Linked DNA regions of Rattus norvegicus. The protein of the gene in region 1 purifies or fractionates together with the protein of each later gene. This does not show direct contact. Links are inferred from orthologs where the notes say so. Each region holds a gene or a part of one and is shown on either strand. Other genes may lie near its edges.

Region 1 (3,500 bases):
GTTTTCTGTTGGGAGTTTTTGGAATGGATTTAGAGAAGATGATAGGGCTGAAAGCTTTGCAATTTTCTGAAAGAATGGAATATAGTTTGTTCACTTGGTTTTCTTTATTAAATTTGAACATGTAGAAAACCTTGTAAAGTTGATACATAGACAGAAGAGCTTTACAACAGTCTTAGGTTGTTGATTCACATTCAAACCAGTGCCAAAACAATCTTTGTCTTATGTATGTCCAGACCTGCAACTGACTAAAACCACAGTTTGAGAATTGGCATTCCTTAAACCAAACACACCCCTGTGGTATGCTCTTCGCTTGTTGGTCTTCTAATTGTTTGTAGTTCTAACCACATGCTTTTTTTCTCCCAGAAAACTCTAAGACTGGAAAGTTTTCAAGGGCCAAAGTCTTATTACCTTGCTGAAAGCAAATTCAACAAAAAACAAAGTTCCTAAAAACATTGTTTCTGAGAAATTCTCAAGTATCATTAAGAAGAATAAATGTTTATGCTAAAGTAAGAATAGAGCTACGGCAATGTAAGATTAAAGAATGACACTGCAGTAAGGTCAGAAATCACAGCTAAGCTTTTATCCTTGGTGTTAGCTTCTTAACAGCAAAAGGATTATGTATTTCAATTTGTAATATGTTAAACTTATGTTCAATGTTTATTTAACATCACAGAAAATATACAAACTACGACATCAGAATGAACTGTTTTCCTTTGGAGAAATGGTGATGCAGGTCCTCCACCTGGTACCAATCTGAGTCATCCAGGGGGGTTAGATGCAGAAGTCACTATGTTTTCAACATTTCAACAATGTTATGGAATTACATTTCCAGATTTGTTGCCAGGTATTTTTGAGAACCTGTAAGACAAATTTGGGAGAAAGGTATTTTAAGTGGACTTTTCTTTCCTAAACATCAGGAAAAAACAACCACCGTCACAGAACAAAAGTGGACTGAGAGAAGGGAGGATGTGCTGACCATCAAATAGCCATTGTCTGACTCTTATTGTGTCTCCCCATCGTCCTTTGTAGCAGGGTTTCTCAACCTTAGCATTATAGGGACATATTTAACCAAATGTGCGCTCTTAGAAGAAGGAGTGAGGGAGATATCCTGTGCATCATTATGGGATGTTCAGAAGCATCTCTGATCTGTACCCATGGAATGACAGTGGTATACTGTAACTTTCTAAAGTTTTGACAACATAAATTGACAAATATACCATAGATACGTAAACTTCCCCTACCTCAAAACTACCTTTCTCATATATGTATATGTGTCTATGAGGGCAGAAGCCATGGGGTGAAGTGAACTTCAAGTGATAACAAGCCTTAGAAGACTATCCACCTGGTTTGAGACTGGCTGTCTCATTGGGGTCTAGGGATTACTGATTAGGTTAGGGGGGCTGGTCAGCAAACCCCAAAAATCTTCCTGTTTCTACCTCCCCCTCTAAGATTACCAGGGTGTACCACCACACCCAACTTTTCACGTTGGTACTAGGGTTTGAACTTGGACGCTCAGGTACTTCTCAAGTGTGTGCACTTTAGGAACTGAGCGATCTCTCTAGTCTAAGTACTACTTATGTCTAATAGTGATGAATACGTCTCTCTGGGATGATGGAAAGAAATCAAATCTTAAGTTTAGGAGGAAAAGCCACTGCTTCAGCCACAGCGTTCATAAATGCCAGTAGAGTTTGATCACATAAAAATCACAGTTGTGTTTTCACATCTCCTGGTATAAATTAGCACCGCCACAGTTATAAACACTGAATCGTCTACAGTCTCGCTCACAGTAATACACCAACGACAAGTGCCTGGGCCTGTACTTCAAAAGAAAAGTGTAAGATGTTATCACTGTGAGAAGCCATACAGGCCCTTTGTATTAGTTTTCCAAATCCCTGTAAAATAATGATCATTTGAAAAGGTTAAAATTAAAAAAAATAAAGAAAGTAAAATCCTGCACTGAGGTCAGGATGCAAGGCAAATGAGAGATAACTGAGAGTATACAACTTTCTAAAACCAGTCATTTGCTCATACTGCAGAGAATGCCTTCTTTGACGTACCTTTTAAAATGTAAATCCCTATCACTATTATAATCCATGTTTCTATTGAAGAAATAGAATGTGTACGATATAAGGGGGAAAAGGTAAAATAGGATATACTAAATGTCTAGTTAGCTAACCATCAATGATCCAATTATAGTTTAGGCATTTAAAGTCTCCATAAAATACAATGCATATTTGTAGTTTGAAAGCTTTAAAGGTACTACAAATATGAACTACATACAGTATAGTTAGTAAGACATGGTAACATGTGTATGGGATTTATAAGGCATATGGATAAAAGATAAAGGTTCCAAAAAAGACATTACAACAGGTACAGGACAATATACATTTTAAATTGCTTTCAGAGAACAGGATTGTTTATGAAATATAAAGATGTTGGGAAATATTTTAAAAAACAAAACAATATTATACAGCTAGTTTGGTCATATGATTATTTATGAGGCAAGTGCACCTGGATCCTTCTTACCTGATTTATAAAGGAGAAAAGTTGTGTACAGTCATCTTTATGATGTAAAGAAAGTGATGGTGACAGGGACATCTACTACTTTAAATGGCTTATAATAATGAACCACCAAAATGCTCATTACGAGGGCTGAGTTATAGCTCAGCTGGTATATTCTATGCTTCGAGTGCATGGATCCCTGTTTGATCTCTAGGAAGCAAGGCTTTTCACATTTACTAACCTCTCTTTCTTCTCTCTTTCTTTACTTACATTTATTTACTATATTTGGGTGCACATAAGCTACCGTGTGTGTGTGTGTGTGTGTGTGTGTGTGTGTGTAAGGTCAGAGGACAGATTGAGAAGAGTTGGTTCTCTTTTCTAGCATGTAACTTCTGTGGATCAAACTCAGTTAATCAGAACTGGCAAAAGATTTGGTACTTTTACCTTCTAAGCCATCTTGCTGGCCCTACCTTTAATTTTCTACATTCCTGTGTCTTATTAATTTTAGGAAACCGACATATTAATTTCACTATTATAAAAGGCTGAAAAAGATTGTAAGTAATTCAACAACTGAACAAATGTTTTACAGCCTTAACATATCCTCAGAGGTACTGATTACTGAATGGTAAAGAGAACCTAACGAAGACTGAGGGTCTCAGAGAACATTACGCTGCTAAAGGTTGAAGTTATGTACTTCACACACAGAAGGACTTAGTCCTGCCCAGGTGCCACTCAGTCAGCTCACCTTTCAAGGTGCCCCGGTGGATTTCTGTATCTGTTCCTTTAAGATTAGGATGCTCTGTCTTTGCTCAGGAGGCAGCATGGCAATCTGGTCTGCAGTGAGTTGAAGGACCTGCATAATCAAAGCAGCCTGTGCAGAGGAAAGGAAAGCTGTGAATTTCAAGGACAAGTCAGAAAAACAAATAAAACAGAAACATCACCAGCTTCTAGCTAAAAGGCTACTGTCATGGGATATGAAGCAAGATGAAAAAAGGGAG
Region 2 (4,285 bases), on another chromosome or scaffold:
CACAAGCACCTTTACTAACTGATCACATCCTCAGCCCTATAAATCACATTCTTGATGCAACTGACAATTCTGAGTATGGATATGTTAGAAACACATCATCAAGCCAAGTGCACTGGAAAGAACCTATGATCCCAGTACTTGGGAAGTAGAAGTTCAAGGTCATTATCAGCCACAAACTGAGCCAGTCTGCCCTCAAACTTGTACAAGACCCTATCATAAAAAAAAATAACACAGAAGCCAGGAGGGGTTCCTTTAATCTCAGCACTCTGGAAGCAGAAGCAGGCAGATCTCTGTGAGTTGGAGGTCAGCCTGATCTATCAATGGAGTTCCAGGACAGCCAGAAATGTTACACAATTAATGTCATTACATAAGAGAATGTTGAAATAGTTTGGAATGAAGTTTGATATGTCAACTTTCAAAGAAATGCGTTATGGAGAAAAAAATATATCAATAGTCAATAGTAGAGCTTGCCTAATATGAGCAAGATCCTACCTTTAAAGCCACAGCACTGCCATACACAAGAAATATGTATATGAACACATACATGCAATACCACATATATACGACAAACCCTGTAACCATTGTTGGATTTGGTGAAAATTATAATGGGTGTTCATGAGTTTTTCCTTCAACTTTTTTTTGTTATAAACTGTGTAATAAAATTCAAAGGCGGAATACCTGTTACAGGTGCTGAGGCTGAAAGATTGCATCTAAGGCCTGCCTGAGTCACAGAGTAACTAAATCTTACAAAGGCTATTGTGGTGGTGTACCATCTTTCCTCCTAAAAGTGGTGGTGTACCATCTTTCCTTCTAGATGTGGTGGTGTACCATCTTTCCTTCTAGATGTGGTGGTGTACCATCTTTCCTCCTAGATGTGGTGGTGTACCATCTTTCCTCCTAGATGTGGTGGTGTACCATCTTTCCTCCTAGATGTGGTGGTGTACCATCTTTCCTCCTAGATGTGGTGGTGTACCATCTTTCCTCCTAGATGTGGTGGTGTACCATCTTTCCTCCTAGCACTCAGCAAGGCAGAGGTGGGTGACCTCCATGAATTCGAAGACAGCCTGGTCTATGTAGCATAGCAAGTTCCATGCCAGCCAGGACTACATAGTGACAACTGTCAAAATAAAAGGGGTTTGGAGAATGAAGGTTTATAAGGTCTCATCACAGTTGTTTTCATAGAAATATGGCACACTGTGTTGTGATTAAGGCTTTGAACTCAGCGGTTGAGTACTTCCCAGCATGCACAAGGTCCCGAGGTTCAATTTCTACCTGGGGTGGAATAGTATGACCAAAACAAAAACTAAAACCCACACAGTTCTAAAACAAAACCACGGCAATATTTTTGTCTTTACAAATTTATGTAAAACAGTGAATTCCAGACACATCCAAAGAAACCTCAACACCACTCCTTCCTTTCAGAAAATAAAAATGCCAGCCCTGGAAGAGCAGAGTAAAAGAAACAGTTTTAGTAAGTAAAATAATTCAAAGACATTGCATTCGTGGGCACCCTAACATTAGATAAAATACAAAAGCACTGCCAAGACTTCCCAAAGTAATTAAGTTCTAATTTACCTACACTTCATTAACATACAGTCCTATTTTACCTCATCCATCAACCTCCAATAATTTTTACTTTATAAGGTGGGGATTTGGGGAAAAAAGAAAAGGAAAAAAAATACAAGTGTATTCCGTTACTATAGCAATAGGAAATTTAGAACTTTGTAGGACCACCTTTCTTTTAGAACTAAATATACTAGGATCAAGATCAAAACACACATCTTTCATAGTCATTTTTGTTTTTTACAATAAAAAGCAAACACTAGCCTACAAAATTTAGGATATAAAAGAGCAAAAGAACCCAACATGAAGATGCACGCCAGTATTCCCAGATAACCCTAGCACTAGAGGCCAAGGAAGCAAGCCTGTCAGAAGGTCCTGCCTAGTCAGGGCTACTCAGTAAAACCCTATCCAAAATAAACAAACAAGCAGTAAAAGGGTGAGATCTCATATCTAAAAATCCAATTTGTAAAATACTTAGATATCATTCATATCTACCATCCAAACAGATGGTACCTACAGTGACTAAAGCACATTTCCAGTTTTCAATTTACCAAATTCTGCAATGTTTGCGTGCTCGTAAAAGCAAAAACAACGTTTTCCTTGACGAGAGAGAAAGAAAGCAAAATTCCACCAAAGCTCGGAAGAGCCATGCTCTACTTCTGGACTGCTACTTTTAACCTTCGCTCTCTCGGGGGCCGAATTTTCCAGATTGGTTTAGTTTTTATTTCTGGGGACAGCAGACTGGGGCGCAGAGGAGAGAAATATTGCCAACGCAGATATACGTTAAAATAATCCGGTACTACCGGAACACTAAAATGGTATGAAATAAACCGTCCCGACCGAAGAAAGTGCAACGAACAGGGCGAAGCAACGTCTCAGCTATTGTCTAAGTCAAATACTTCGTGTGAACGCCACAGAAAAGTCAAAATCTGGGAGACCTCAGGAGCTGTGCTTCCGACCCCGGGATTCACTAGATCCCCAGGGCCCTTCCTCACGCGAACAGGGCTGGAGTGTTCGCACCCACAGGCCAGAGAGAGAAGTCGCCACGAGGCCCCACCGCTCCCGTTCCTCACCTGCTCCGCGGCTGCGTCTCCTGACATGGCCTCAGAGGATTACAACGTACACACGGGCCGGCAATGGGAAGCTAGAAAGGAAAATTTTAAACTAAAAACAACCCCACCAAAACCAGTAACGCTACCCCTTGTCCCTCGGAGCCAGAGCCGCCGCAAAAATCGCCACCGCCCACTCAGATATGAATTAAAATGGCTGCGCCCCAGCCGGCTGAGGGGGTGTGAGTCGCTTCCGTATTCACTTCCGGGACAATGGGCGGGGCTGAGGCTCAACTCCCGGATTATTGGAGGTGCACAAGCGCAGAGCGATCCCAGGGGGCGGGCTCAGCGCGTGAGCTAACGTCACGGCCCGGAACTGATGACGCCGCTGTCCAGATTTCTGAGGACGGCCGGAAAGATCCAGCCGATTGGCCTGGGAGCTCCCGCGCTTCTTGGAATTTAATTACTGAGTTGCAGAGCCAGGCTCCTCCCCGTTGAAGCCTGACTGCCAATCCGCTCAGTACAGGCAAACTGACCATTTTAGGGAACAGCGTTGAGAGCTAGTGAATACCTCTCGTGTTTAGGGGATAAGGAGTCTACTAAGGCATTCTGTACACTTTCTTTTCTTGGGGGTGAGAGGAACAAATCTAGTTCGTATTAACTTTTGCTGTCACCGTTCACTACCAGACCCGGGATTTTAGTTTAGCGTCTCACTATGGTTTCTTGTCTGCAAAATTGCGGTGATAGTACGGATAGTACGAAATGTTGCTTTGTACCCAGACTTCTCACCTCACTAGAGTAACCTGGGCAATTTGCATTCTCTCTGTCTCTGTTTCCTTACCTAAAGATAAGAATAACAACAGCAGCTGAGATTTAATTAAAAAAAAAAAAAAAAAAAAAAAAAACCCTCTCTTTTGGCTTAGGCCTTAAATCACAGCACCCTGGGGACAGAGGCAGGGTGGATCTCTGTGAGTTCGAGTCCTGTAAGGCTCCAGGACGACAAGGGCCTATGAACTTTCTATTTCACCTTTTAAGCAAACAGTCGCGTGAATCACATGTACATATATTAGGAGTCACTGCAACATTTGATAATGGAGGTCTGAATATTTCAGAAGTCTTTTACAATGGAGAGTCAATTTTTTAAACTGTTGCTGATGTAACTGACTTATAAAAATATCCACAATGAGTCAGGGTGGTTCGAAGAATGGAGGTGCTTGCTGTGATGTCCTAAAAGCCTGAGTTTGATCCTACTAGCATTCGATGAGTTGACAGGATAGAACTGACTCCAGAAAGTTGTTCTTTAACCTCCACACATGCACTATGGCATGTAAACTTCTGCACTCACAAACGCATAGACATACACAAGATAAATATATAACTCTAAAGATATCCACGAAATTAAGCCCAAAAAGTGCAGAATATAAAATAGCTTATGTATGTATATATGTGTGCATCTGTGTGCGTATTCATCAAAACATCTAGAGGATGCTGTTAATGCCACAGATACAAGCAGAAAGACCACTAACCCAAATCATGACCAAATTAATTAAAACAAGCTTTTTTAAAATCCATGCACACAGGCTGTCTCTAAGGGCTGGGTTCGAGAGATCAGCCTTGGATGTGGGGAAGATACACCATTTTATAGTCCAGGAGTAGAAGATTGCCAAATGGAG

The links. The genes of interacting proteins can lie anywhere in the genome.
Region 2: the proteins of Cstf2 (region 1) and Cstf3 fractionate together in Homo sapiens (co-fractionation; 4 studies listed by BioGRID and IntAct, with this or other methods). This does not show direct contact. The link is inferred for Rattus norvegicus from reciprocal best matches to the Homo sapiens genes CSTF2 and CSTF3.

What each region holds. Positions count from the first base shown.
Region 1 is NC_086039.1:101,567,535-101,571,034, reverse strand, and holds part of Cstf2 (cleavage stimulation factor subunit 2), read right to left. Parts: exon of another isoform or gene 3,374-3,500; coding exon 3,251-3,373; 3' UTR 3,248-3,250; intron 859-3,247; 3' UTR 1-858. UniProt on the Homo sapiens protein: One of the multiple factors required for polyadenylation and 3'-end cleavage of mammalian pre-mRNAs. This subunit is directly involved in the binding to pre-mRNAs.
Region 2 is NC_086021.1:111,419,806-111,424,090, reverse strand, and holds the start of Cstf3 (cleavage stimulation factor subunit 3), read right to left. Parts: upstream 2,801-4,285; 5' UTR 2,664-2,800; coding exon 2,637-2,663; intron 1-2,636. UniProt on the Homo sapiens protein: One of the multiple factors required for polyadenylation and 3'-end cleavage of mammalian pre-mRNAs.